Saccharomyces cerevisiae S288C: one gene and its partners. Each later gene encodes a partner of the first gene's protein in a complex. Each region holds a gene or a part of one and is shown in the gene's direction. Other genes may lie near its edges.

What was found.
Region 2: RSC58 (region 1) and RSC30 share a complex: the UniProt entries of both Saccharomyces cerevisiae proteins name them as parts of the two forms of the RSC complex.
Region 3: RSC58 (region 1) and RSC3 share a complex: the UniProt entries of both Saccharomyces cerevisiae proteins name them as parts of the two forms of the RSC complex.

The regions. Positions count from the first base shown.
Region 1 is NC_001144.5:200,037-210,378, forward strand, and holds RSC58 (Rsc58p), read left to right. Parts: upstream 1-8,724; coding exon 8,725-10,233; downstream 10,234-10,342. Other genes in the region: bifunctional phosphoribosylaminoimidazolecarboxamide formyltransferase/IMP cyclohydrolase ADE16, read right to left, coding at 1-1,279; 60S ribosomal protein eL15 RPL15A, read right to left, coding at 1,940-2,554; YLR030W (uncharacterized protein), read left to right, coding at 3,254-4,045; YLR031W (uncharacterized protein), read left to right, coding at 4,189-4,749; DNA helicase RAD5, read left to right, coding at 4,955-8,464. UniProt on the Saccharomyces cerevisiae protein: Component of the chromatin structure-remodeling complex (RSC), which is involved in transcription regulation and nucleosome positioning. RSC is responsible for the transfer of a histone octamer from a nucleosome core particle to naked DNA.
Region 2 is NC_001140.6:209,493-219,834, reverse strand, and holds RSC30 (Rsc30p), read left to right. Parts: upstream 1-2,000; coding exon 2,001-4,652; downstream 4,653-10,342. Other genes in the region: mediator complex subunit MED6, read left to right, coding at 1-838; peptidylprolyl isomerase CPR2, read left to right, coding at 992-1,609; metallothionein CUP1-2, read left to right, coding at 5,117-5,302; YHR054C-B (uncharacterized protein), read left to right, coding at 5,145-5,318; YHR054C (uncharacterized protein), read left to right, coding at 5,586-6,650; metallothionein CUP1-1, read left to right, coding at 7,115-7,300; YHR052C-B (uncharacterized protein), read left to right, coding at 7,143-7,316; CIC1 (Cic1p), read right to left, coding at 7,857-8,987; COX6 (cytochrome c oxidase subunit VI), read right to left, coding at 9,684-10,130; YHR050W-A (uncharacterized protein), read right to left, coding at 10,190-10,342. UniProt on the Saccharomyces cerevisiae protein: Component of the chromatin structure-remodeling complex (RSC), which is involved in transcription regulation and nucleosome positioning. RSC is responsible for the transfer of a histone octamer from a nucleosome core particle to naked DNA.
Region 3 is NC_001136.10:1,067,029-1,077,370, reverse strand, and holds RSC3 (Rsc3p), read left to right. Parts: upstream 1-5,984; coding exon 5,985-8,642; downstream 8,643-10,342. Other genes in the region: PMT7 (putative dolichyl-phosphate-mannose--protein mannosyltransferase), read right to left, coding at 1-1,506; PFU1 (Pfu1p), read left to right, coding at 2,200-3,636; HNT2 (bis(5'-adenosyl)-triphosphatase), read left to right, coding at 3,883-3,969, 4,059-4,625; peptidylprolyl isomerase family protein CPR5, read left to right, coding at 4,814-5,491; mannose-ethanolamine phosphotransferase GPI11, read right to left, coding at 8,981-9,640; cleavage/polyadenylation factor CFT1, read right to left, coding at 9,946-10,342. UniProt on the Saccharomyces cerevisiae protein: Component of the chromatin structure-remodeling complex (RSC), which is involved in transcription regulation and nucleosome positioning. RSC is responsible for the transfer of a histone octamer from a nucleosome core particle to naked DNA.

The DNA.
Region 1 (10,342 bases):
TGTATTTTAAAACCAGCGTAGCAACAGTTAGATCGATAACGGCTTGCTCGGTAAGTGCTTTGTTTTTGGAGACAATTTCTTTGAAAGTGGATTGGTTTATGATCGCATCGTTTCTCTTTTGTTGTAACGTTACGCCAAAAACCTCTCGGGATTCCATTTGGCCAGGAACATAGTTTGGATCGATTTGTAAAATACAGTATTTTCCGTTTTTCTTCTTAGATAGTATATTCAATGCCTCTGGTTCATACCCTGGAGCAATAACACCATCGGAAACTTCTTTAGAGATGATTTTTGCAGTGGCGACATCTACAATATTGGACAATGCAATGAAATCACCAAAGGATGACATCCTATCTGCACCACGGGCCCTAGCGTATGCGCATGCCAATGGTGATAAATCCTCCATATCATTCACAAAATAAACTTGTCTTTCCACATCGGATAATGGAAGTCCCACAGCAGCACCTGCTGGAGAAACGTGCTTGAACGATGCTGCCGCAGGCAAGTTCAATGATGCAGATAACTCTTTCACTAAGGGCCATGAGTTCAAGGCATCCAAAAGATTTATATATCCTGGTGTACCGCAGAGCACTTTGAAGGGCAACTCCTCCTGCTGAGTGATATAAGCTTGTGCAGGTCTTTGGTGGGGATTACAACCATATCTTAGCGGTAATTGGGCTTTCCCTTCGGAGTACTGTTTCCTGAAAAAGTCAGAAATGGCCGCATCATAATCGGCCGTATGTTCAAACGCCTTAAGTGCAAATCTATTTCTTAAATCCTGAGAAATTTCACCGTCCTTAGACAGGTCTTGCAGAAAGATAGAATAGTCATTAGGGTCTGAAAGAATAGTCACTCTGGAATGGTTCTTTGCGGCTGCTCTCAACAAAGTCACACCGCCAATGTCGATCTCCTCTACAGCTTCTTGAACTGTAACACCAATTTTAGCCACAGTTTCTTTGAACGGATATAGATTACATACAACAAAATCCACCTTATCAATGTGCTGCTCTTTTAAATCTTTTTCATCGCCCTCTAAATTTCTGGCAAGAATACCTGCATGCACAGCAGGGTGAAGAGTCTTGACTCTACCCCCTAGCATTTCTGGTGCATGCGTAATTGAAGAAACATCGTCGACCGGAAAACCAGCTTCTCTGACCATGTTGGCCGTACCACCGGATGCTAGGATACGAACATTGTTCTCTACCAATCCCTTGGCTAAGTCTAATAAACCTGTCTTATCATAAACTGACAAGATCGCAGTCTTGGTATATTTGCCCATTTTTAGCTCTTTTGTTTTTTGTCCCTATTTATGGTATATTTGGATTCTTTGTTTGGAATGGGGTATTGATTAGATCTTGAATGTTATCTAATCGCTAAAAAGAGCAAGAAAAAAACACAAATGCTGAAAACTGGAAAAAAGGACGATCTATTTGCCAATTATTAAGGCTTATTCTTAAAGTGGAAATAGCCCTCTCTTTTGCTTTTCTTGAGTTTTATCTAATGGCTCTAATAAGGAAAAACGGGAAGAAAAGGAAAGAAAAAAAATACAAGAAAATAAGGTGCGACTAAAAAGAACATGGTGTTAATTTATGCGGCGGAGAAATTTACTTGAGCGTAAAGATATTATATATAAGTATTATGGTAGTGCCACCACCTATGTAAGCTGCTAGCATTGGTATACGTAGAACAATTAGGACTCCCTCGTCCGCTCCTTGATACAGGTAGATAAGTTCTGCCTGAGGGGAGGATTGAGAAGAGGGGGTAGGGGTTTGCTTGATAGCAGAATAAAAGTACAGCTCTAGGTCTATAAAAAAAAAAATTGGTTAAAGAAAAAATATACAGGTTTGTATATAGAATCATTAATTAAAAAGATAATAGTATAAAACACATCAGATAAACAAAAGTTTGCCCAATAAAATTATATTTTCCATCAACCAGCTTATTTTCTGTATCTCCACAAGGACAAAGTGTTTTGTCTCTTCCAGGTCTTTCTTCTACCAGCCTTGGTGTTGTTGAATTTGTGACCCTTGTTGATACCTCTGGATTTCTTACCAGTGGCAGTCAAACCTCTAGCTTCACGGTGCTTGTGAACTGGGTCACAGATCCAGTTGTAACGAGCATCTCTTCTGATAGCCTTGTGTTGAGGGTCGACCAAGATAACTTCGAAGTACTTGTAAGTAGAATCTTGGTTAACCCAGTAGGAGTTCAAGACTCTCAAGTTAGCGGCACGACGACCAACTCTTTCTTCAGCGGTAGCTCTCAAGGATCTTTGGTATTTCAATTCATTGACACCTTGGTTAGTTGGCTTACCGTAAGTAGCACCCTTTGGAACAGGTCTCTTTCTGTTACCACGTCTAACTCTGACACGGTAGATAACGAAACCTTGCTTAGCTTTGTAACCCAATCTTCTAGCCTTGTCTGGTCTAGTTGGTCTAGCGGCTCTGTGAATGACATTCTTTTGTCTGTATTCCCAGACTCTGACTCTTTGCAAGAATCTCAAAACATCAGATTGCTTCTTTCTTTGCAATTCTTCCAAATATTTGTAGGCACCCATTGCTGATTTATTTGTTTGATCGTGGTTTTCTTAGATTGTAAAAGAATTACTTAAGGATAGGGAAAGAAACGTGAGAAATAGCAGTTAAATGTACCGGTGGTAAAAATGCAATGCCATCATTCTTTGTTACCAAGCAAAAGTGAGAAATCTTGAAAAATTTTAGCACCTTTGAAAATTTTGCGTCAGCTCCAAGAAATTTCAGAAAATATATTCGACAGCTTTAAATCCGTACATTTATCAAAAAAAGAATATAATATCATGTTTGACGATGTATGCTATGTAAATCATGTCATAATACGCATCAATTGATACTACAAATGCATCTCGGATAGAGACATTGTCATGATAATCGCAACACATGTCGCACCTGGTGCATGTTCTGAACCTTAACACTAAATATTTAAACGTCATGTAGGGTGCGAGTCCATCTCATTCTTGCCCAATAAATTTTAGAAACACCCTCTTATGAAGGGCGGCAAAACATATTAAGTAAGTGTCGATTGTTAAACACTTCCCCTTTTTTTATGCATAGTAAAAGGTACAAAGAAAATAGCGTACCGTCCTTAAATCAATATAGAAATATAATGAAAAAATAAGTGCTTTGATAAGAATATCTTGAATACAAATTAAGAAGTGTATATTTATAGATATTTTCGTTTCAGCTTGTGTCTGTGTGTGGCCTTATATGTAATATATGAGATGGAAGGTGAACAAATTATGGAGTATGTTCAAGAGACACCGATCATTCCAAAAAGGATTATCCATTATTCGATTCCAAAACAAATGATCACAAAGCCCGCTCCCCATGTCGAGATGACGTTGGTAGCTAATACTTTTCGGGACATGGACTTGCCGCAGCATCCGGTTATCCATGATTGTTGGCAAAATAAAGAGTACTCAACTCAAAGATATTCAGGAAATGTGGCTCAACAGAGATTAAGTTTTGAGGAACATCCAAATGAAGAGTGTCAAAATTCTGTTGGGTTAATCAAGAGAGTGAGTACTTTCTTTAAAAAGAGGCCATTGTCTCGAAAGAATAGCATAAAGTCAATCGGTGACGTAAAATCGGAGGCACGTAACCGGGGAGAAGGCCTCCTGGGTGAAGTTGATAATCTTAACGAGCAGAATGTCCGAGAAAACCTGACTAGTGAACATGAAAAGAGTCCTGAAGGAGATTCCAAAAGGTATGGCCTGTTCTCCTTTGAAGAGACCCCCCCTATACAAGTGTTGGAGCAGGGCAATATCAATTCTGAGCTTTCTTCATTTAAAAACACTTCTTTGGCGGAAAACAAACGCTCTTCTGACAGCTTCGTTTCGTTAAAACCGGGTGAAGATGAACATAGCCCTTTAGAGATTAGTACGTGTGGTAATTTGACTGAAAGAGAGGATTTGCAATCTGGCGAAGAACGGTTTGACTCAGCAGCCCAAAATATAAAGGTAGCTTCGATGAAGGAAAAAAAAAAAATCTTCAAAGGGAACAAAACAGATTAATCACTGAGATTATACGCCTCGAAAACATACTAAATAAGCATAGGAAGGCTGAAGCTAAGAATAATATTAACAAACTTGAAAAGAAGTTGAGTGAAACAGATGGTTTTACATCTGTAAACACATCAGTTCCAGTAACTCCTATTATGCCGGTCTTAAATACGAGAACTTCTTATCCCAATATCGACTTTCATGGTACTAAGGTTTCTGATGTTCTAGATGCCTTTGAATTTGAAAAGCATGATGATCCCTTAAGGGATAAATGGAACACTTTACAGTTTTTGGAAAAGAGCTTTGAATCTAAATTTGAATCTGCATCAGAGTTAATCCAAGGAGGCGAGCTAGCTGCTATTAAAGAAAGAAATTTTCAATTAGCCAAACTAAATAATCTTTGCTTTCGGGTACGAGAGTCCATCAAAAGAAGACAAGACCTGGAGAAAAAGTTAAGAACTTTATCGCAGGACACTGACAACGAATTGCTTTTTCTGATGTTGGAAAATGAGAGAAGAAAGAAAAGTTCAGTGATAATAGAGTTTCTTTCTGAGATAATCAGAGAGAAATCCAAAAGATTAACTGCAGAAGAGCAAGGCTTTGTAAATCAAAATGAAGTAAAACCCCTCATTCTGGACCTTTCTGCACGGATAAATAGATTGAATTCTATTCTAGAAACAAAAAATACTTGTATTAGAAGATTAAGTAATCAATAAGTAGTTAAATTTTCATAAATTATTACTTTCTTACATGTTAGTTGGCGCGTCGTCTGGCTGAAAATTTTACGCGTCATAAACCCTTAACTTTTCCACACATTATTCCTTACTGCTAAGCGCATTGCTCACTTGAAAGTAAATTATCTACAAAGTTACATTATCAAAAGGCCTTAGAAACACACCTAAAGTCTTACAGTATCACAATATGAGTCATATTGAACAGGAAGAAAGGAAGAGGTTTTTTAACGATGACCTTGACACTTCAGAAACATCGTTAAACTTCAAATCTGAGAATAAAGAGTCGTTTTTATTTGCAAATAGTCATAATGATGATGATGATGATGTTGTTGTATCAGTGAGTGATACAACAGAAGGAGAGGGAGACCGATCTATTGTGCCAGTCAGGCGAGAAATAGAAGAAGAAGGCCAGAATCAGTTTATTACAGAGCTTTTAAGGATTATTCCAGAAATGCCAAAGGATCTTGTGATGGAACTTAATGAAAAATTCGGCAGTCAGGAGGAAGGGCTCTCTTTAGCATTATCACATTACTTTGATCACAATAGCGGGACGTCTATCAGCAAAATACCGTCTTCCCCGAATCAACTAAATACACTCTCAGATACCTCAAATTCAACCTTGTCCCCATCTTCATTCCATCCTAAAAGAAGAAGAATATACGGGTTCAGAAACCAAACACGATTAGAAGATAAAGTTACTTGGAAAAGATTTATAGGTGCTTTGCAAGTCACTGGTATGGCTACCAGACCCACCGTCAGGCCCTTGAAGTACGGCTCTCAGATGAAGCTAAAGAGATCAAGTGAAGAGATTTCTGCTACTAAAGTATATGACTCACGTGGTAGAAAGAAAGCGTCCATGGCTAGTTTGGTAAGAATTTTTGATATCCAATATGATAGAGAAATTGGCAGAGTTTCGGAAGACATTGCTCAAATACTATACCCTCTTTTAAGTTCACACGAAATAAGTTTTGAAGTTACATTGATTTTTTGTGATAATAAACGGTTGAGTATAGGTGATAGCTTTATTCTACAATTGGATTGCTTTTTAACATCTCTCATTTTTGAGGAACGTAATGATGGAGAATCCTTGATGAAAAGAAGACGTACAGAGGGAGGAAATAAAAGAGAGAAAGACAATGGAAATTTTGGAAGAACATTGACTGAAACTGATGAAGAGCTAGAAAGCCGCTCGAAAAGACTGGCTCTACTAAAGTTATTTGATAAATTGAGGCTAAAGCCTATTTTGGACGAGCAGAAGGCATTAGAAAAGCATAAAATAGAGCTTAATAGTGACCCCGAAATCATTGATTTAGATAACGACGAGATTTGCTCTAATCAAGTGACTGAAGTCCATAACAATCTCCGAGATACTCAGCACGAAGAAGAAACAATGAACTTGAATCAATTGAAAACATTTTATAAGGCCGCACAATCATCAGAATCTTTAAAAAGTTTGCCTGAAACAGAACCTTCTCGCGATGTCTTCAAGCTAGAACTAAGAAATTATCAAAAGCAAGGTCTTACTTGGATGCTAAGGAGGGAGCAAGAGTTTGCCAAAGCAGCCTCTGATGGTGAGGCTTCAGAAACGGGTGCTAATATGATAAACCCATTATGGAAGCAGTTCAAATGGCCAAATGATATGTCGTGGGCAGCTCAAAATTTGCAGCAGGACCATGTAAACGTTGAAGATGGCATATTCTTTTATGCGAACTTACATTCTGGTGAATTTTCGCTAGCAAAACCTATATTAAAAACTATGATAAAGGGTGGCATATTATCAGATGAAATGGGGTTGGGTAAAACAGTGGCAGCGTATTCTTTAGTTTTATCTTGTCCTCACGATAGTGATGTTGTTGACAAGAAACTGTTTGATATTGAGAACACAGCAGTCTCAGATAATCTTCCAAGCACTTGGCAAGATAATAAGAAACCATATGCTTCAAAAACAACGCTAATCGTGGTCCCAATGTCTTTGTTAACGCAGTGGAGTAACGAGTTTACAAAAGCTAATAATTCCCCCGATATGTATCATGAGGTGTATTATGGTGGGAATGTTTCCAGTTTGAAAACCCTATTAACCAAGACAAAAACCCCTCCAACTGTAGTCCTTACTACATATGGTATTGTTCAAAATGAATGGACTAAACATTCCAAGGGAAGGATGACAGATGAGGACGTCAATATATCTTCAGGCTTATTTTCTGTCAATTTTTATCGCATAATAATCGACGAGGGTCATAACATTAGAAACAGAACGACAGTTACATCTAAAGCAGTCATGGCTTTACAAGGCAAATGTAAATGGGTTTTAACAGGAACACCAATTATTAACAGGCTTGACGATTTATACAGTCTGGTTAAGTTTTTAGAGTTAGATCCCTGGCGGCAAATTAATTACTGGAAGACCTTTGTATCAACGCCTTTTGAGAGTAAAAATTACAAACAAGCATTTGATGTGGTGAATGCAATTCTGGAACCCGTATTGTTAAGAAGGACAAAACAAATGAAAGATAAAGATGGTAAGCCATTAGTAGAGTTGCCACCAAAGGAGGTCGTTATTAAAAGACTTCCCTTCAGTAAATCTCAAGATCTTCTATACAAGTTTCTGTTGGATAAGGCTGAAGTTTCTGTTAAATCGGGTATTGCACGCGGTGATTTATTGAAAAAGTACTCCACTATCCTTGTCCATATTTTAAGATTGAGGCAAGTCTGTTGCCATCCCGGTCTTATTGGGAGTCAAGATGAGAACGATGAGGATTTATCTAAAAATAATAAATTGGTTACGGAACAAACGGTGGAGCTTGACTCTTTAATGCGTGTTGTTTCCGAGAGATTCGATAACTCATTTTCTAAGGAGGAATTAGATGCAATGATACAAAGATTAAAAGTTAAATATCCAGACAATAAATCGTTTCAGTCCTTAGAGTGCTCCATCTGCACAACGGAACCTATGGATTTGGACAAGGCTTTATTTACAGAATGCGGCCACAGTTTTTGTGAGAAATGTTTATTTGAATATATTGAGTTTCAGAACAGTAAGAATTTGGGTTTAAAGTGCCCCAATTGCCGTAACCAAATAGACGCTTGTCGGTTGTTGGCATTGGTACAAACGAATAGCAACTCGAAAAATTTGGAATTCAAACCATATTCACCAGCCTCCAAATCAAGCAAAATCACTGCTTTATTGAAGGAGCTTCAATTGCTACAGGATAGTTCGGCAGGCGAACAAGTTGTCATTTTTTCCCAATTTTCTACATACTTGGATATCCTGGAGAAAGAGCTAACTCATACTTTCTCAAAAGATGTTGCAAAAATTTATAAATTCGATGGACGTCTCTCATTAAAAGAAAGAACTAGTGTATTAGCAGATTTTGCCGTTAAAGACTATAGCAGGCAAAAAATCCTATTACTCTCGCTGAAGGCTGGTGGCGTGGGTTTGAATCTAACGTGTGCTTCCCACGCTTATATGATGGACCCATGGTGGTCGCCCAGTATGGAAGATCAGGCAATCGATAGACTGCATAGAATTGGCCAGACAAACAGCGTCAAAGTTATGAGATTTATCATACAAGATAGCATAGAAGAAAAAATGCTACGCATTCAAGAAAAGAAGAGAACCATCGGTGAGGCCATGGACACAGACGAAGACGAGAGAAGAAAAAGGAGAATTGAAGAAATCCAGATGCTGTTTGAATAGTCATACCACATACTCATATATAAAGACTTTATTTATTATTATTTTCAACCCGAAAGAACTAATTATTCTTCAGCTACTTCATGCAACTTCTATTATCTTCCTTTTCCGTTACCCGTATTTTTAAGTTGCAATTATTAAAAAAACAATTAAGAAAATAAAACAGCGCCATAAGGCATGGACGATAGAAATACGAAGACGAAGAAAATCATCATCAGTCGGGATCAAATAAGAGATAATTTTGAAAATCGAAAGTTTTCATTATGACAGAAAGTGTAGGTGGAAATAAACTAGTAGATTTTTTGGTAAATGTTCAATCCATTTTGAATGCTGCCTCTGTGAAATGTCATGTAGTAGATGAAAGTTTTCCAGCCAAGTTCTTTGAGAAAAATCCGGATAAGATATATGAATCATATTGTAAATTCATTAAAAATAGAAGTAACTCTGAAGGTTTGATACGTAATGAAGATAAATTAGTTTTGACAACTATCAATAAGAGGTTTGAAAATGGAGAGTACGAACCCATACAAGGTGGGTTTTATAAGCTGTATCACGACATTAAGCTGGTTTGTACAATCCTCATTCACTTTTATCCTCAGGGTACAAGAAACTACCAATTAGTCGACAAGTTCTACAAATTTTCTTCAGAGCTTTTATTACGAGAATGTTGTAGGATAGGAATTGCTCTAACGCAAACTAATAATATTAAATCAAGAAGTGGTAAGTTGTTGAGCGGAAACGAGATGGATGAATACGACGATGACGATGCAACAGAACTAGACAAAATAATCTCTTATGATTTTATTAAGATTTCTATGAATTACACAGTGCCGATTTCTCAAACATATCAGATAAGAACGAAGGATATGGACCTTTTTTCTTCGATAATTTCTAAATCTAATCTTGACAAAAGACCTCATGAACTTCCTAATACAAACTTCAAAATAAACAACGTCTTACCTCAAACTGATATAGAAAACGAAGCTCCAAGATTAGGATTTGTAGGCGCTAATACTAGTAATATTCCGGACCCTACGTTACCACCAACTGAAATGATGACTAGATTTTTGCATCCAAATTGGTATGCTTTACCTACAACCGTCTGGCTAAAATATGGTAATTATAATTCTTGGGCACCTTCCTTTAATGAAAACGGCACCGTTGTGGATTCGACAACAAGGGGTCTTATTTGGCTTGAAAGAATTGGTTATATGGACTTGTATGAAAAAAATGAAAAGAAAGTAAAACAAGAAGAATTACTGAACACGAATGAAGAAGGCATAAACAGGAAGCAGAACGATGAAAACAACAAAAATGTTGACGGCAAAAGCAATGGCGTTCAGGACGATGGTGGTGATAATGATAATGATGCGACTATCGCTTCTGCAAATTCAGAGAGTACTGAGAATAAGGAACAATTCATAATCAAGCTTCAAAACTTATATAATTGGACACCATCTAATTACATTGGAGATGACGAAATTGAGAACTTTCGAAATGGCACACCAGATAAGTTGGTTTCAGACTCTCTCTTAAAACTTAAAAGACTTAGAAAGGAGAGGATTTTAAATAAAGTTTTGAAGCCTACTACGGAGGAACGAGAATTATACTTCAAAGTGAAAAGAATACTAAAGGAGGTTATCTTAGCAAAGAAGGTTTCCAAGGTTCCTATAAACAATGTAAGGGCCTTTCCAGTATTACAAACAAACTATAATGGTAGCATACCTGTGGTAAGGGCGCAACCAGGTCGTAAACGGAAACACAAGAAATAAATAGTGTCAGCGGTAGTGGAATCAAAGATAAATAATGAATTATCTTTGTTTTAGTTTCATGAAAGCTCATCAAGTCTTTTTTGACTAATGTATGTTTATATTTTGATAT
Region 2 (10,342 bases), on another chromosome or scaffold:
TCAAGTTTTTGGTTTGAGAACTGAGAATGTTCTTGATTACTTTGCAGAATCACCATTTTTCGATAAGACGTCGAATAATCAGGTAATTAAAATGCAAAGGCAGTTTTCCCAGTTAAATGATCCTAATGCTGCCGTGAATATGACACAAAACATAATGACCTTACCAGATGGGAAGAATGGAAACTTGGAAGAGGAGTTTGCCTATGTGGATCCGGCAAGAAGACAAATCCTTTTCAAGTATCCTATGTATATGCAACTGGAGGAGGAATTAATGAAGTTAGATGGTACTGAATACGTATTGAGCAGCGTAAGAGAGCCTGACTTCTGGGTTATCAGGAAGCAAAGACGAACAAACAATTCTGGTGTGGGAAGCGCTAAGGGACCAGAGATTATTCCATTGCAAGACTACTACATAATTGGTGCAAACATTTACCAATCGCCAACAATTTTTAAAATTGTGCAAAGTAGGCTGATGTCCACGAGCTACCATCTAAATAGCACATTGGAGAGCTTGTATGACTTGATTGAGTTTCAACCTTCCCAAGGAGTACACTATAAAGTACCTACGGACACTAGCACGACTGCAACGGCTGCCACCAACGGGAACAACGCTGGAGGGGGCAGTAACAAGAGCAGTGTACGACCTACCGGCGGTGCCAATATGGCGACTGTTCCCTCAACCACAAATGTCAACATGACAGTCAACACTATGGGTACAGGAGGACAAACTATAGACAACGGTACCGGTCGTACTGGCAACGGTAACATGGGTATAACTACAGAGATGTTGGACAAATTAATGGTCACAAGCATTCGATCCACCCCAAACTACATATGAGAACTGCCATGGCAATTGCATATATCTTTGTACTATATTATAAAACCCCGCGAAATCAACTTTTCAGTTTTCTTCAAAAATCGATGTACCCATCATAAGAAGTTCCCCCAAAAGGAAAGAAATGAGAGGAAAAAGACACGAAGGGAAAACAAAATGAAATTCAGTGGCTTGTGGTGTTGGTTGTTATTATTCCTTAGCGTTAATGTTATTGCATCTGATGTGGGTGAGTTGATTGATCAGGACGACGAAGTAATTACACAAAAGGTGTTTTTCGATATTGAACATGGTGAAGAGAAAGTTGGCAGAATCGTTATTGGGTTGTACGGAAAGGTATGTCCTAAGACGGCGAAGAACTTCTACAAGTTAAGCACCACCACTAATTCCAAAAAGGGGTTCATCGGGTCCACTTTCCATAGGGTGATTCCCAACTTCATGGTACAGGGAGGGGACTTCACAGACGGCACTGGCGTTGGTGGCAAATCCATCTATGGAGATACTTTCCCTGACGAAAACTTTACTTTGAAGCATGATCGCAAGGGCAGACTATCGATGGCTAATCGTGGTAAAGATACCAATGGATCTCAGTTCTTCATCACCACTACGGAAGAAGCGTCGTGGCTCGATGGAAAGCATGTGGTATTTGGACAGGTTGTGGACGGCATGGATGTGGTGAACTACATACAGCACGTGTCCAGAGATGCGAATGACAAACCTCTCGAGGCGGTCAAGATCGCAAAATGCGGTGAGTGGACGCCTGAGCTCTCTTCTTGAGTATATGCAATATTTCATACTATATACATAGATATCAATTTCAGTATGTATAGTTAAAGGTAAATTAACTAGAGAACGTGGGAACAGTTCCGCACTGTGACCACCGGAACGTACGTCTGGTTAGCGCAGCATTAGTCCCAGTTACATCCGATTCAAAATGCAACAGCAAGTATTAATTGGGGAAATCATATCATTTTGAATATAACCTTGGCGTCCTACTAAGGATGGTTATACATCCTAGCTCGTGTAGTGTGATATTTTGCAGGAATGATGCAAAGAGAGGAAGAACAAGAAGAGAGTTGTTGTTTTTAATGTATCTTAGCAATTTATGAGAGGAGCATTGTCGTTGTCTGCTGTGACTAGTGCGTAGCTTTGCCGTTTGTTTTTAATCATGATGGACATGCAAGTGAGAAAAGTGAGGAAGCCGCCTGCTTGCACCCAATGCAGGAAGAGAAAGATCGGGTGCGACAGGGCAAAACCGATATGTGGGAATTGCGTCAAGTATAACAAGCCGGACTGTTTTTATCCAGATGGACCTGGTAAGATGGTCGCTGTGCCCTCTGCGTCCGGGATGTCCACGCACGGCAATGGCCAAGGTTCCAACCATTTTAGTCAGGGAAACGGTGTAAATCAGAAAAACGTAATGATTCAAACGCAGTATCCGATTATGCAAACGTCGATAGAGGCATTCAACTTCTCGTTCAACCCCTCTGTGGATACTGCGATGCAGTGGACCAAGGCCGCTAGCTACCAGAATAATAACACCAATAATAATACTGCTCCTCGTCAGAATAGTAGTACCGTTAGTAGTAATGTTCATGGAAACACTATTGTGAGAAGCGATAGTCCAGATGTGCCCTCCATGGATCAGATTAGAGAATATAACACACGATTACAACTGGTTAACGCTCAAAGTTTTGACTATACAGATAACCCATACTCTTTTAATGTTGGTATCAATCAAGACTCGGCCGTTTTCGATCTAATGACTTCTCCGTTTACTCAAGAGGAAGTATTAATCAAGGAGATAGACTTTTTAAAAAACAAATTGCTTGATTTACAAAGCTTGCAACTGAAAAGTTTGAAAGAAAAATCGAATTTAAATGCCGACAATACCACGGCAAACAAAATTAACAAAACAGGTGAGAATTCTAAGAAAGGCAAGGTTGACGGTAAAAGAGCCGGATTTGATCATCAGACTTCAAGGACTTCTCAGTCCTCACAAAAATACTTTACAGCGCTCACAATAACAGATGTGCAAAGTTTAGTCCAAGTGAAACCGTTGAAGGATACCCCCAACTACCTTTTCACTAAAAACTTCATCATTTTTAGAGATCATTATCTTTTCAAGTTCTATAATATTTTGCACGATATCTGCCATATTAATCAGTTCAAAGTAAGTCCTCCTAACAATAAAAATCACCAACAATATATGGAAGTTTGCAAAGTTAACTTCCCACCAAAAGCAATAATTATTGAGACACTAAACTCTGAATCCCTTAACAATCTGAATATTGAAGAATTTTTGCCAATCTTTGACAAAACCCTCTTACTAGAATTTGTTCATAACTCTTTTCCAAATGGTGATACCTGTCCTTCATTCTCAACGGTCGATCTTCCTTTATCTCAACTGACCAAACTAGGCGAATTAACTGTGCTTCTACTGTTGTTAAACGATTCAATGACCCTATTCAATAAGCAGGCTATTAATAACCATGTTTCGGCATTAATGAATAATTTGAGGTTGATTCGAAGCCAAATCACATTGATAAACCTGGAATATTATGACCAAGAGACAATCAAATTTATTGCCATCACAAAATTTTATGAATCTCTGTACATGCATGATGATCATAAATCAAGTTTAGACGAAGATTTGAGCTGTCTGTTAAGCTTCCAGATAAAAGATTTCAAGTTATTCCATTTTTTGAAAAAAATGTATTACTCAAGACATTCGCTTCTAGGTCAGTCTTCATTCATGGTACCCGCTGCTGAAAACCTATCTCCGATACCTGCCTCTATTGATACGAACGACATTCCTTTAATTGCTAACGATTTAAAATTACTGGAAACGCAAGCAAAATTGATAAATATTCTGCAAGGTGTTCCTTTCTACTTGCCAGTAAATTTAACCAAAATTGAAAGTCTGTTAGAAACCTTGACTATGGGCGTGAGTAATACAGTAGACTTATATTTTCATGACAACGAAGTCAGAAAAGAATGGAAAGACACTTTAAATTTTATCAATACCATTGTTTATACAAATTTTTTCCTTTTTGTTCAAAACGAATCCTCTTTGTCCATGGCAGTTCAACATTCTTCTAACAACAATAAGACCTCGAACTCTGAAAGATGTGCAAAGGATCTGATGAAAATTATTTCTAATATGCACATTTTTTACTCAATAACATTTAATTTTATCTTCCCCATAAAGTCGATAAAGTCATTTTCAAGCGGCAATAATCGCTTTCATTCTAATGGTAAAGAATTTTTATTCGCAAATCATTTTATTGAAATCTTACAGAATTTTATAGCAATCACATTTGCTATTTTCCAACGTTGTGAAGTAATATTATATGACGAATTTTACAAAAATCTTTCAAATGAGGAGATTAATGTTCAATTGCTATTGATTCATGACAAGATTTTGGAAATTTTAAAAAAAATAGAAATTATCGTATCCTTTTTACGAGATGAAATGAATAGCAACGGAAGTTTCAAATCTATTAAAGGTTTCAACAAGGTTTTGAATCTGATTAAATATATGCTGAGATTTAGCAAGAAAAAACAAAATTTTGCGAGAAACTCTGATAACAATAATGTTACAGATTATAGTCAGTCGGCGAAGAACAAAAATGTTCTCTTGAAATTCCCCGTTAGTGAACTGAACAGAATCTATTTAAAATTTAAGGAGATTTCAGATTTTTTAATGGAAAGAGAAGTTGTCCAAAGGAGTATAATTATTGACAAGGATTTGGAATCTGATAATCTGGGTATTACTACGGCAAACTTCAACGATTTCTATGATGCATTTTATAATTAGTAAGCCGATCCCATTACCGACATTTGGGCGCTATACGTGCATATGTTCATGTATGTATCTGTATTTAAAACACTTTTGTATTATTTTTCCTCATATATGTGTATAGGTTTATACGGATGATTTAATTATTACTTCACCACCCTTTATTTCAGGCTGATATCTTAGCCTTGTTACTAGTTAGAAAAAGACATTTTTGCTGTCAGTCACTGTCAAGAGATTCTTTTGCTGGCATTTCTTCTAGAAGCAAAAAGAGCGATGCGTCTTTTCCGCTGAACCGTTCCAGCAAAAAAGACTACCAACGCAATATGGATTGTCAGAATCATATAAAAGAGAAGCAAATAACTCCTTGTCTTGTATCAATTGCATTATAATATCTTCTTGTTAGTGCAATATCATATAGAAGTCATCGAAATAGATATTAAGAAAAACAAACTGTACAATCAATCAATCAATCATCACATAAAATGTTCAGCGAATTAATTAACTTCCAAAATGAAGGTCATGAGTGCCAATGCCAATGTGGTAGCTGCAAAAATAATGAACAATGCCAAAAATCATGTAGCTGCCCAACGGGGTGTAACAGCGACGACAAATGCCCCTGCGGTAACAAGTCTGAAGAAACCAAGAAGTCATGCTGCTCTGGGAAATGAAACGAATAGTCTTTAATATATTCATCTAACTATTTGCTGTTTTTAATTTTTAAAAGGAGAAGGAAGTTTAATCGACGATTCTACTCAGTTTGAGTACACTTATGTATTTTGTTTAGATACTTTGTTAATTTATAGGTATACGTTAATAATTAAGAAAAGGAAATAAAGTATCTCCATATGTCGCCCCAAGAATAAAATATTATTACCAAATTCTAGTTTGCCTAACTTACAACTCTGTATAGAATCCCCAGATTTCGAATAAAAAAAAAAAAAAAAGCTATTCATGGTACCCGCTGCTGAAAACCTATCTCCGATACCTGCCTCTATTGATACGAACGACATTCCTTTAATTGCTAACGATTTAAAATTACTGGAAACGCAAGCAAAATTGATAAATATTCTGCAAGGTGTTCCTTTCTACTTGCCAGTAAATTTAACCAAAATTGAAAGTCTGTTAGAAACCTTGACTATGGGCGTGAGTAATACAGTAGACTTATATTTTCATGACAACGAAGTCAGAAAAGAATGGAAAGACACTTTAAATTTTATCAATACCATTGTTTATACAAATTTTTTCCTTTTTGTTCAAAACGAATCCTCTTTGTCCATGGCAGTTCAACATTCTTCTAACAACAATAAGACCTCGAACTCTGAAAGATGTGCAAAGGATCTGATGAAAATTATTTCTAATATGCACATTTTTTACTCAATAACATTTAATTTTATCTTCCCCATAAAGTCGATAAAGTCATTTTCAAGCGGCAATAATCGCTTTCATTCTAATGGTAAAGAATTTTTATTCGCAAATCATTTTATTGAAATCTTACAGAATTTTATAGCAATCACATTTGCTATTTTCCAACGTTGTGAAGTAATATTATATGACGAATTTTACAAAAATCTTTCAAATGAGGAGATTAATGTTCAATTGCTATTGATTCATGACAAGATTTTGGAAATTTTAAAAAAAATAGAAATTATCGTATCCTTTTTACGAGATGAAATGAATAGCAACGGAAGTTTCAAATCTATTAAAGGTTTCAACAAGGTTTTGAATCTGATTAAATATATGCTGAGATTTAGCAAGAAAAAACAAAATTTTGCGAGAAACTCTGATAACAATAATGTTACAGATTATAGTCAGTCGGCGAAGAACAAAAATGTTCTCTTGAAATTCCCCGTTAGTGAACTGAACAGAATCTATTTAAAATTTAAGGAGATTTCAGATTTTTTAATGGAAAGAGAAGTTGTCCAAAGGAGTATAATTATTGACAAGGATTTGGAATCTGATAATCTGGGTATTACTACGGCAAACTTCAACGATTTCTATGATGCATTTTATAATTAGTAAGCCGATCCCATTACCGACATTTGGGCGCTATACGTGCATATGTTCATGTATGTATCTGTATTTAAAACACTTTTGTATTATTTTTCCTCATATATGTGTATAGGTTTATACGGATGATTTAATTATTACTTCACCACCCTTTATTTCAGGCTGATATCTTAGCCTTGTTACTAGTTAGAAAAAGACATTTTTGCTGTCAGTCACTGTCAAGAGATTCTTTTGCTGGCATTTCTTCTAGAAGCAAAAAGAGCGATGCGTCTTTTCCGCTGAACCGTTCCAGCAAAAAAGACTACCAACGCAATATGGATTGTCAGAATCATATAAAAGAGAAGCAAATAACTCCTTGTCTTGTATCAATTGCATTATAATATCTTCTTGTTAGTGCAATATCATATAGAAGTCATCGAAATAGATATTAAGAAAAACAAACTGTACAATCAATCAATCAATCATCACATAAAATGTTCAGCGAATTAATTAACTTCCAAAATGAAGGTCATGAGTGCCAATGCCAATGTGGTAGCTGCAAAAATAATGAACAATGCCAAAAATCATGTAGCTGCCCAACGGGGTGTAACAGCGACGACAAATGCCCCTGCGGTAACAAGTCTGAAGAAACCAAGAAGTCATGCTGCTCTGGGAAATGAAACGAATAGTCTTTAATATATTCATCTAACTATTTGCTGTTTTTAATTTTTAAAAGGAGAAGGAAGTTTAATCGACGATTCTACTCAGTTTGAGTACACTTATGTATTTTGTTTAGATACTTTGTTAATTTATAGGTATACGTTAATAATTAAGAAAAGGAAATAAAGTATCTCCATATGTCGCCCCAAGAATAAAATATTATTACCAAATTCTAGTTTGCCTAACTTACAACTCTGTATAGAATCCCCAGATTTCGAATAAAAAAAAAGCATATGTATTAATCCTAAAATGTATTATGAGAACGTCTTTTAAAGGTAAAATGCTGTTATCCCCGTCACTTTCAATGATCTATTTATTTGAAGCGGATAGTACAACAGATCAGTCTAAAACGTATAAGCTCTTAGACCGAGAAACCAATATTCAAATAATGACTTTATTTTTAATATACACTTCAAACATATATAGATATATACATATGCACCGCACTCTATGAAATTCAAATTTTTTTCTTCACAAGAAAAAAATGAGAGAAAAGATAGATAAGGAGGAAACAAATTAACTTTTAGCCTTCTTGACAGCTTCTGACTCGCTAGATTCTTTTTCAAGCTCGCTAGAAGATCTCTTTTTTGCATTGTTAATTTGTTTAGAGAAAATTGAACCCAATTCGGAAGGATTGGCGATTTCCATCAAACCCTTGTTGAAGGTAGACAAATGAACTTGTACACCATCAATGGTGACCATGTCATCTTCGTGGGTTTCTTCGATTTTGTCCTTTTTAGCTTCAAGTTCATCAAGAACGTCCTGGTTATAGTATAATGGCAATACGGGCGACCTATTGGTCTTGATAAAAATGGATCTGATTTGGTATGCTTTGATTAACTGTTCAGAAATTAATTCAACGTTATCTACAAACTCTTCTGGCCTTAACCATTCTAAATTACCCAAATGGACATTCAACGTGGTACCTCTTGGAAGTTTAACGGGCAACTGATTCATGTAAACCTTTTTGATATTGTTCGTCAAAGTGGTCAAGGAAAATTCCTTATTTGCATGTGTTCTAATTGATATAGGAGTAGTTTCTACTTTGTTGTAGGCTTTGCCTCCCATAAGTTTTGGCAAAGATGTAACTATACTGTCGTCAGCCAAAATCAAAGAAAACTGAGATATAAAAGCGTTTCTAGCCTCATATGCCTTGTAAACGGTCTTTAAGTCTTTCCCGCAAATGATTTCATCAACCTTGATTCCTTCTGAATCTAATTGATCAAATAAATCATCTTCTGAAACTTTCTTAATATCAGAATCCTTCAAAATTAATAAAACTTTGAAATCCTTAACCGCTGTTGCACTGGCTTCTTTCCAAGGCTTGTAAAACGAATGTTTGACATTTAGTAATTTCAATTTGAATGATTTGGAAGTACCGGTGAATGATTTATTATTTACTACGATTAATTGCAGATCTTTCTTCAATTCTTCTTCATCATCTTCCAATAGGTTTTTCTTACCGTTATTTCCTTCTTCATTATTTTCATCTTGTGGCTTGGAAGTGAATTTTATAAGCTCGTTGACAGCTTTAATAACTCTTTCCCTAGGAATGGCTGTGGAAGATTTCTTTTCAATAACCTTCTTCTTTTCTTTGCTTGGTGTACTTACAGGCGTAGATTTCTTTGAGTTACTCTTTTTAGCCATTTTATACTTTATAGTCTGGAACGTAGGTTTATCTGCCTGCTGTCTAATATTTCTTATAAAACAGACACTATTCTTTATGCAGTATACAAACGCTTTTTGTTACTTTTCAAAATTTGCGATGAGCTCCAGTGGAAAAATTTTTTTCAGGAAATTGTCTTTAATTTTTTTAGTATGAAGTGACATCAACTTCACATTTATTGACGCAACGGTGAAGCACAGAATAGAATAGTAATTCTTTAATGGTATATTCTAGGTTTTTGTTTTTTATATAGTTATTTATTGTTTTATTATTTTTCCCATTCTTCTTTCCTGAAATAGAACACAAAAAAGCTACTAACAAAGGATATTAAAGGTAATCTGTGACCAGCCCTCATTACCAAAAATAAAGTTTGTTCAAGTAATAGAGTAGAGAAAACAAAGTGGAAATCATAATGGTTAAATTTAAATATTTTTCTTTTACTTTTCTTATTTCACCTCTTGTGATCTTATCGTTGATTTTGATATATTAGTTTCTGAGTGGATGAATATCCATAAAGGGTAAAACAAATAATAAGGTAAAAGGGAAGAAAAAAAAAAAATAAAAACTAAAATCGTTTTACAAAATAAATACGAATCTTATTTCAAATTGAGGAATTTTCCACAAATAAAAAAAGGACAACAAATTACAGACGTTGTGTGGTAGCTTTTTCCTTATTATTAAGAAGAGCTTGGAAATAGCTCTTCCTTTAAGGGAACGCCCAATTCTTGTCTGACATCCTTCAATTCATCCAAGTAGGCCTTGTATTGGTCTTCATTCTCCACCTTGTATTTCAAAGCCTCAAATACTCTAATTGCGGTAGGTAAGTCATTGACTCTTCTGGCAGCCCTCAAAGCTTTTTCAATAACAGCAGGAGCAGGAACTAAATCATAGGAAAAACAGTTGTTGAGCACTCTTTGCACTTCAAACAAATCATAGGCTTCATCAAACTCCTTTTCGTATCTTGCGGTGAATTCCTCAAAGGTTTCTTCATCATGTGCGTCAGAATACTTCCTACTTTGAATAAACGTATTTTTAGTCAATCTAGTTGCATGATAAGCACCAGGTCTGGCTCTCAATAAAGTTCTATTTATAACTGGATTTCTGAATATGGCCCTTGATAACATTGTTGTATATTTATTAGTTTATGTGTCAAATACAATTGTTCGGCTGTTTATCTCCGCTACTAAGTCTCAGAAGTGATACAATTTTTCAAATTGTAATAATAAATAAGTGTGCTAAAATGTGGATGAAATGTAAAGAAATGAGGTAACCTTGAGATCTGGCACCTTGATAAGCAAGAGCAATTGTTGATCTTTATTAATGCTTTGACCGGACC
Region 3 (10,342 bases), on another chromosome or scaffold:
ATAATATTCTATCATTGGGACTTGGAAATCGACTGGTAGTTGTACTGAGTCTATTAGAAAAGTGGTTCTTGGTATTACTGGGTACTCCATACATAGGACTTCTTGCTCAAAGCGGCCCCATTCAGGTAACCGAAGATCATGGCCCAATAGCCCACATCTCTGGCCGTTATTGTAAAAGCGTATCTCTGATTGAAGCGGTTTAATGTATTTATCATCTGCGTTATCCTTTTTATCATTGTTGATTTCATCTTTAATCAGGAGAACATCCCATCTCTCATCCATTCCTCCTTCGTAGTTTGAATCTTTCGTGCATGAAATTTGAAAGTCATAGTCCTGCTCGCTGATGGGAGGTTTAGCAGTGCTGGCTCTCAATAATTTTCCAGTAGATTTGTGTCTTAGTTTTATACTTTGACCAAATTCTACAGGTATCAATTGATCAGCATGGTATACCTCAGAAAAACTCAAATTTAATGTAGGATGTTCTATTAACCATTCATTGTCTGCCGCGAATTCTTCAAATGATAACGCTACTAACTGTTCGTCAACATCTGATGGATACGAAATATCGTGAGAAGCAAGATATCCGACCATAGAATCTAAATGACGTAATGTGATCGTTGATCCATAGTACAATCGACTCGGTTGTACTTGAGGGCCTCTTAAATAGGACTTGAAATATGTGCTCATATATTTTGAAAATTGTGGCGTGTCTGTCTTAAAATTCGAAAGTAAGTTCGAATAACTTATTATGAAGATGGAACCAGGGATAATCAAAACGAATAATAGACAGAGAATGACAAATTTTATTATTTGGATGGTCGTAACTTTAACGTCGCTTATCAGTCTATCAAATTGACGTACAAAAGAAAGAATTACGAAGGCCCAAGTGACAATTCCAATAAATTTAGAAGAGATTGCCAGCCCTAAAGAAATAGATAATGTAATCACATTAGCAAACCAATTCGTAGTTCCCAGTTTTGCAATTGAAATGCTTATAAAACTGTAAATTACTACTGAGAACAGACACCATTCTAAACTGTCAAATGATATAATAGTGCCCTCATTTCTGAAAGTTTCCCAGTTGGATAATATCAGCAAACCTGTTGCTGAAATTAAACGAGAGCAATTGATTCTCCTTGTTATCAGGAAAAGAAAACCTAAAGTCGATGAATTCAAAAACAAAGAAACGTATCTTAAATTTTCTGCGATCTTTAATCTTCGAATAATGGAGTAGAACTGTATTGTAAATGGTGGCAATTCATGGATGTAAAAAGCCTTGTCTAGGTAAAACTGAATTAATTGGGAAAGTTCTTGTTCACTATTATTGTCCCATGGTCGGTTCCAGAATGAAGAAGAGTGCGATTTCCATATTAATGTGAAATTGGTAATAACAATCAAAAACGCGAAAATATAATCAAGCGTCTTTAAGTGACCAATTCCACATTGTTGGAAAATATTATAGGGAATGTACTTTCTGTAGGGCCCCTGTAATCTCAAGTCCTTCATGTTTTGTAAGTTAATTTTTTTCTGTTCAAACACTATCGCCCTTAAGTGTCTACGTTCTTATTCTCCTTAAATAATAACATTTTTAGTATTCGATTTTCTATTTTTCCTTTCTTCATTACTTCATTACCAAAGTAAGAGTGACCGATGTAGGAAGCAATATTGAAAGGAAGGGAAGGGGAGCACAATGAAACAAAGGGTTAGTGTGATGAAAACGACAGGAAGTAACTATAAGAAGCAGTAAAGTTGAGACTTGCTGCACCATTTTTATTGCCACACCTTTATTAGTTCTTTATGAATCCTAAGCTGTCATCCGTAATATTGTTCCAATAGTGTAGCGGCTATCACGTTGCCTTCACACGGCAAAGGTCCCGAGTTCGATCCTCGGTTGGAACATTTGTTTTTTCACTACTACTATATTTTTAGTTGAATCCTAGGCCACATTTAATTGACTAATAGACTTAAGATCGAGATTAGTAATCTTCTGACTTTTTTCTACTGTGTAATTGTTGAATGATAGTCTCTATTTTATTGTTAAAGCCCTGCGGCCGGGTTACCTCTTCATGAGGGGTAAGGGTTGTCAATACAAGATGTGTCTAGTATTGAGAGTAATATGACGGCATCGTCAAGATTTGTACATCGACAAACATGTGCAACAGCTCTAACACATAATCATATCAACCACAGTACTCAGTAATGGCAAACAAATCACGACCCAAGAAAATCAAGGCTCCTTACAGGAAGTACGTGGCGGGAGAGGGTTTCTCCTCTACAAGAAATGATAATAAGGCTAAAGAATTCACTATCACTATACCGGAGGATGCAGAACTCATTGAGACTCCACAGGGGTCTTATTACTATGATGAAACCAATGATACTATAGTGAAATTGACACGACTGAGTAATGAAAAAAAGGATAAAAAAGGACGTAAGCAGTCGCCATCGTCATCATCGACATCGTCCTCCAAAGGAGAAAAAAATGGCAAAGTCATAGAGAGTGAGGAAGCGAGGATGCATTCAGTATCAGTAAAGATGGTTTTGCCATGGGAGATACAGCATAGAATAATTCATTATCTTGATATACCAGAGAAAGAAGAAAAATTAAATAAAACTGCTAATGGAAAAAAAACTACGACTGGTATAAATATGAACTACTTACTAGTTTGCAGAAACTGGTACGCCATGTGTCTACCAAAGCTTTATTATGCACCAGCGTTAACAAGTAAGAATTTCAACGGGTTTGTTGATACAATAATCATAAATAAAAAGAAGAATTTAGGACACTATGTTTTTGAGTTGAACTTGTCTACAATTTTACAAAGTGGTAGAAATTCATTTGTCTCCAAGCTTTTACGACGATGCTGTTCTAACCTAACTAAATTCATCGCACCACAGACAAGCTTTGGTTACGCGCCTTTGATTTCATTGAAATCGTGTCATGATTTGAAATTTTTAGACTTGGGTTTAGTATCGGAAACAGTTAAGCTGAAGGAGTTATTTTCTGCCATTAAAAATTTCACTAAATTAACGCATTTATCTTTTCCCAGATCGTCGATTGACTGCCAAGGGTTCCAAGATATTCAATGGCCACAGAATCTCAGGTACTTGAAATTGAGTGGAGGTATAACAAATGAATTTGTGATTGATACGAAATGGCCAACAACTATTACAACTTTAGAATTCTCTTATTGTCCTCAAATAACGGAATTGTCTATTTATTCGTTGTTATCACAGATCGGTGATAATTTAAAGCATTTATTTTTTCATTATCCGATGCCATCTCTGGCAGAAAATTCCCTAGACCATGTCTTCACGTACTGTGCTAATTTAATTTCTTTGCAGCTCATGGTTGATTACTGTTCTAAGTGGTGCTTTTCTGAATTCATGCTAAGTAAATTGGTGGAATATGATAGGCCTCTTAAAACATTGTACTTAGAATGCAGCGGATCCTTGGGATTAGCTTCTAAGATTCATCCCGATGACTTGACTATAGCCATACTGGAATCCAGGCTGCCCTGCCTAAAGAATATTTGTGTTTCTCCCAAGCTGGGGTGGAACATGAAAAGCGATGAAGTCGCTGATTTGGTAGTCTCTTTGGAAGATCAAGATGGCAGTTTATATCTTAATTATTAAAATGTTCATTGTTTGTTTTATAAGAGTCAGTGTTTTCTTTTAGACACTATTAGGAAGAATTATTTTATCCGGCCTAAAAAAAATATTTTACATGCAAACTTGCATATATTTTGCCATTGACACCAATTAGAATGTGTAATTTTCCTGGTTTATACGTTTCTCAAGATATGGTCGAATCTTCTTTTCTGCTCAATTGTAAGAAGCGAAGAAAAAAAGGAAGCTCCATTGATCTATCTTGGGCTCAGAATGATCTTAAGCAAAACAAAGAAACCTAAAAGCATGAATAAGCCAATATATTTCAGCAAGTTTCTTGTAACTGAACAAGTTTTCTATGTATGCACTCTCATATGTTTTTTTGTACCCCATTCGCACCATTGCGTTACTAACTATATGGAGACCTTATAATCTCTGCTTCTTTACAGAAGTCAAAATATACGTATGCATTGGTAAACTTGAAACCAATTGTACCCGGACATGTACTGATCGTTCCACTGAGAACTACGGTTTTAAACTTATCAGATCTGACCATGCCTGAATCTCAAGATTATTTCAAGACTTTACAGTTAATACATAGATTTATTAAGTGGCAATATAAGGCTGACTCTATCAACGTTGCCATCCAAGATGGACCTGAGGCCGGACAGTCGGTACCCCACTTGCATACACACATTATTCCACGTTATAAAATAAACAATGTAGGGGATTTAATATACGATAAATTAGATCATTGGGATGGTAATGGGACTTTGACTGATTGGCAAGGAAGAAGAGACGAATATTTGGGTGTTGGTGGTAGGCAAGCAAGAAAAAATAACTCTACATCGGCCACTGTAGACGGGGATGAACTCTCACAAGGTCCTAATGTCTTGAAGCCAGACAGTCAAAGGAAGGTTCGAGCTTTAACCGAAATGAAAAAAGAAGCTGAGGATCTTCAAGCCAGACTAGAAGAATTTGTATCTTCTGATCCTGGTTTAACACAATGGTTATAGTTCAATAAATAATAGATTCATACTTACGATATAAAAAATAGTAGGGAAGTTAATTTTCGTTTCGCAGCGAATCCCTTTTAGCAGAGGAAAAAAAAGATGAAACCATCCTTACTACTTTCCTCGAGGAGACTCAACAGTAAAGGTTACTTTCAATTCAATAAACAAAAGGCACAGCGATATCCGCAATTATGAAGCTTCAATTTTTTTCCTTTATTACCTTATTTGCTTGTCTCTTCACAACAGCCATTTTTGCGAAAGAGGACACGGCAGAAGATCCTGAGATCACACACAAGGTCTACTTTGACATTAATCACGGTGATAAACAAATTGGTAGAATTGTTATGGGATTGTATGGTCTCACCACACCCCAAACCGTTGAAAACTTTTACCAGTTGACCATTTCCAGGGACCCTAAGATGGGTTATTTGAACTCTATCTTCCATCGCGTTATTCCTAACTTCATGATTCAAGGTGGCGATTTCACTCACAGATCAGGTATTGGGGGTAAGTCTATCTTCGGAAACACGTTCAAAGATGAGAATTTTGATGTCAAACATGACAAACCAGGCAGATTGTCTATGGCCAATCGTGGTAAAAACACCAACGGATCCCAATTTTTCATCACCACCGTCCCATGCCCATGGTTGGACGGTAAGCACGTTGTCTTTGGAGAAGTCTTGGATGGTATGGACGTAGTTCACTACATTGAAAACGTTAAGACCGACAGTAGAAATATGCCTGTAAAGGAAGTTATTATTGTGGAAAGTGGTGAACTGGAAACTGTTCCTTTGGACAATAAAGACGCCGCCAAGCTACAGGAAGAGATCAAAGCGGAAGCTAGCGAAGCAGCCCACGATGAACTCTAAACTGCATCACTATTCAGGAGATGTATAGGCCAGCTATGTAACTATATAGTGCTTATAACAGTTGATTATCACATAGAACGAGTATGTTACCCTATGGCCCTTTTCTGGCACAACTTCACAAGAGTATTTCAATTGACCAACGTGGGTCTTGTTGACCAGCTGGGATCACACAGACCAAGAACTACCTTTATTATTAGGAACATACTGCTTTCTGGACACTTCCACTGCTATACCTTCTCGCAAATAGCCATAGTTCACCAATATTCATTCGGCCCGTTAGACGCTTGTAAGACCACTTTCCCGTTTTCGCCCGAGAAGATATATTAGCTGCTTACATTAGATTATTTCATCAAAACTCACGGCTTTCAAACCAAAGTCATTGGTGCTCTGCTGCAATTGCCCCATACTACGCAGATATTTAAAATCGAGGTTTCTGTGATATTTTCTTAAGCTCTTATCTACAAAAATAGCATTTCAGAACCAAAAAACAACGATGGATATTCGTGGTAGAAAAATGAAAAAACCGCCTGCATGCGTGCAGTGCCGTAAGAGGAAGATAGGCTGCGATCGTGTTAAGCCGATTTGTGGGAACTGTATGAAGCATAATAAAATGGACTGCTTTTATCCGGACGTTCCCGGACAATACGTTCCCTCTAGTTCTTCCTCTTCCAATACACGCCAAGTAGCCAACGGTCCGTACTTAAACTCTTATTACGCTTCTCGTCGTGTCTCCAAGGAAACTGCTGCACTTTTGCAGAAAAATCCAGAACTGGCTTCTTTGGAGCAAATAAGAGAATACAACACGCGTCTGCAACTGCTCAATGCTCAAAATCAACTTAATAATAGATCATCTGCGGCAAATGCAACCTTGAATCAACAACACACTCAATATATTCCAAAATCAGTGCCTTCCTTGGAAAGTAAGCCAGTCACTTCTGCAAACGAATCTTCTACTCCACTCAATTGGGTTCAAGGCCCTGCAATTTTTCATATGCTAACCTCTCCTTACACACAAGATGAAATCATCAATCATGAAATGAATTTCTTGAAAGGCAGACTACTGGAATTGCAAGAAATTACAGGTAAGAAAATTACGGGAGTAAATCTTGATCTCAAGCAGGATTCCTCAGCGCAAATGCAGTCTTCACACTCCAATAGAAACCAAGAGGAGTTTTTGACAATTAAGAAAAGAAAACTGAGTGAAGACGGCGTTACGGACGGGGACGGTAAGCCAATTCCAGAGAGTGAAAGAAGACCTCATCTTAATGAATTTAAGGATTTAGATCCTCAATTTTTGGATACTAATAAAGTTTTTAATGTGTTTAATTCTGCTATTTCAGAAGAAGGTAGAAACAGATTATGGCTGTTACCAAAAAATATAAATAAAAGTTCTATCTTCCAGATTCAGTATTTGATTGAACGTGATCCTTTCCTATTCAAATTCTTCAATGACTTGAATATATTAATTGAAACGCAATTTAATGGACCTTTGCACGATTTGGTAGCAAGCCGTAACAGTATTGAGCGCAACAGTGGCATATCTCAAATATTAAAGTTTCCTTCACAATCGATAACACAGACCCTTATCAACAAATACTTATCCACGATAACGGAAACGAATTCAATACTTCCAATATTAAAACCAAAGAGACTATTACCCATAGTTGAGCAGCTTTTTCCTTCTAACACCATTAATAAGCCAAATTCTAAAGATTTTGAAACTATTTTTCAAGTTTTTAGTGTGACCAATGATCAGCTACTAAATCTAGGATTTATTACTCTCTGTCTCCTGATTCTTTTTGAATCGTTGAATTCTACGGTTTTGATTCCTCTTAGAGATGATGAACACTTGCAATTATTCAATGTGTTATTCAACTACTTGCCTTTGTTGAAGTCTAATTTAACAACGCTTAGATTTGAAATTGAAAAAAGGTCAATGTGTAATATAGAGACCCTGCGGTTTATTTCTTTGTGGAAATATTACCAATTTGTGATGGACACGTCGTCATCGTCCTCTTTCGTAATTGATTACGACGAAGATATGCATATGGCATGTTTACTATCGTTAAATCATGAAACTCAAAATCAATCTCATATTTTGACCTGGAATTTCATATTTAAGAACTACTGCTGGAGACACCTTTTCTTAGGTCAATTGCCGTTGCTAATGTCTGAACCTTTCACAAATTCTACCCCAATTATTGATCCTTTGTTGAACAACGATTTTGAATTGATTGATTTTGAAGTAAACTTGATGAAATATTTGCAAAGTAAAGATCAACAACTATCCATTGATAAAATTATACAGTTAATCAAGCTTTTGAAAAATAAGAATATCGAGGTCAGCCAAGGATGTTTAACGACTCCTTCAATAATTAATAATATCATGGATTCTCTAATCTACAGGAATTCAATGTTATATTTGAACTTTTACCTCTTATTGCAATTTGAAACATTGAAAAATTATGCTAAATTTAACGAAATTTTGGAAGACTTTTTGGAATTGTCGAGGGAGACCTTGTTCTTTGTTTTCTCGAACTTAGCCAATATTAAATTTGCTGGTCATGAATTCACATTCATCAATAAATCTATTGTGGTTCTGCAAACTTTAGTTTTAATGCTTTTGGCGCTCTATCAAAGGTCTTTTGATTCTTCAAAGAGGACGAATGATGCTAATGAAATCAGTGAGCAAACAGATATTCATAGTAATAACGACAATAGTAAGAGAATAAAGAATAAAAATGTTATTCATTTAATTATCAACAAAATTGCAATGTTGTTAAGTGATTATACCAAGAATTGTAAAAAGCAAAATAAACTCATCGAAAATCTGATTATTAAAATTAAGACAATCTCCAAGTATATCAAAAATCTTGAGGAGAATAAGGTAACGACTAGCGCCGATTCAAATTATTCCATTAATAACGGATTTTCTGGCATATCTGCAGAGCAGTTGATTAAATTAAATCACGAGTTGAGTAAAATTTCAGAATCTCTGATAAAAACGGATTTTTATGAACAGAGGAAAAATAGCACAGTTTCTAATGGAGTTTTAGGCGCAGCAGCTCCTGTTGATAGCGACGCAAATTCGGATACTTTCGGTTTAACAAAGGAGAATTTCAACGAAGTTTTTGAGGCTATTCGTAGCTAAAGCGACTCAAACAAATTAAAGAAGAAGTTGAGACTTTTATAGTATTTATTATTTAATCTGAGGATTTGTATTATTTTTTTATATAGAATGAATAAATCAGAAAAAGGAAATTATGAAAAGAAAAGAATGAGGAGAGTGGGAGATATTTAATGTTGTTAGCTATTTATCTGTATGGAAGTTATTACCTTCTTTTAAGATGGTACAAATAGCATATAGGTGGGTTTGGTATAAAGATCATTTAGTTTTTGTCATAGATTTTTCAATTGTGCATAGGACCAGTTTATGTTACCTCTATCATACTTATATTTTTTTATATACAAATTTTTAAATTACCGATATTATATATAGGCACCGATAGTATAGCCCACCAAAGCGCCCAAATAACCTCCAACAACAATAGGAATTGGCCAATTCTGCCAATCTCTATCCCAATCCAAAGGAATGACAACACAACTAATCCAACCCCCTACAACGATAAAGATAAAATACTTCTTCCATAATCCCACTTTGAAATCACAATTAAATACAGAATAAACTGCAGGGTATGCTAAAAATGCAAAATGCAGTGACAACAGCCAGGTTTCCCACAATAAGTCCATTAATGGCGCACCAAATAATATAGTTAATAACATTGTGGGAAAGCTCAACAAAAATGTAACACCTAGACAAATAATGGTCAATGAGTAATTGATCTTAATGATTTTGTTACCGTAAACTGTGCATTTATTGAATTGTAAAACTAAATAAGCAACTTGTGTAGGAATCAAAAAACTTAGCAACTTCACCGTATTGAAATTTGAAGATACAAAAACGTAGTAATAAAGTAGTGCTACTAAATGGTATGGAAATGTCATCAGAGGGGTTTTCCTCACATACACAGGTGGACGATCATGATCTACGTTCTTTTTCTCACGATTTTGGTGCGTTGTTAATGTTGTGTCATCGGAGAATGATACGGTTTTTTTCACTGTCTTTCTAGTCCTTTTTTTAGCTGGCATATTTAAATTGGACCTTCTTTAGTGCACTTGTTTATGTTCCTGCAAAGTCTTTGATTAAAGGCACCGTTTGCACTTTTGCTTTATTTCACTAACTGTTCTTTATTTGTTTTTTTTGCTGTGCAAAAAGTAACTTTTTCCTCATCCCCGCGTTACGTAAATAGTTCCGAAAATGTACGATGATACATGCGTTATTGTTACAAATCTAGTGTTTCAAGTAGTGGTTCTTATTCACTACTCGAATGCCTAGTGATAGATAGATGTATATATCGGGCTAGTTAGCATTAAATATCCTTTATATGTATTGTTCACTTACCCTGGCATAAAGATCTCATTGAAAATTCAATATTTATGATATCTCTCCATGCTTCAAAATGCGCATGTCTTCCTGCTTTCTGCGCAATGCTTTTCCGTCTATCAATAGCTAATCCACAGAACCTCCGTATAACGTTGAAATCAAGCATAGGCCTCATAGAGTGACCCATCTGATAAAAGTCGTTGGCCAATCTTTCCATGCGAGGGTTTAAACCACCTAGCTGTAATTCTCGATCGATGATTTGTTGTTGAATCACATAAAGTCTTCTGTATTTTTCCTCACTTAAAGGAACTATCTTGAAGACTGACCCATCCACTTGGCCACCAACGTTTTGAAACGATGGCACTTGAGGAGAGCCAAATTCCTCGTTTCTTGGTAAAAGCATCATA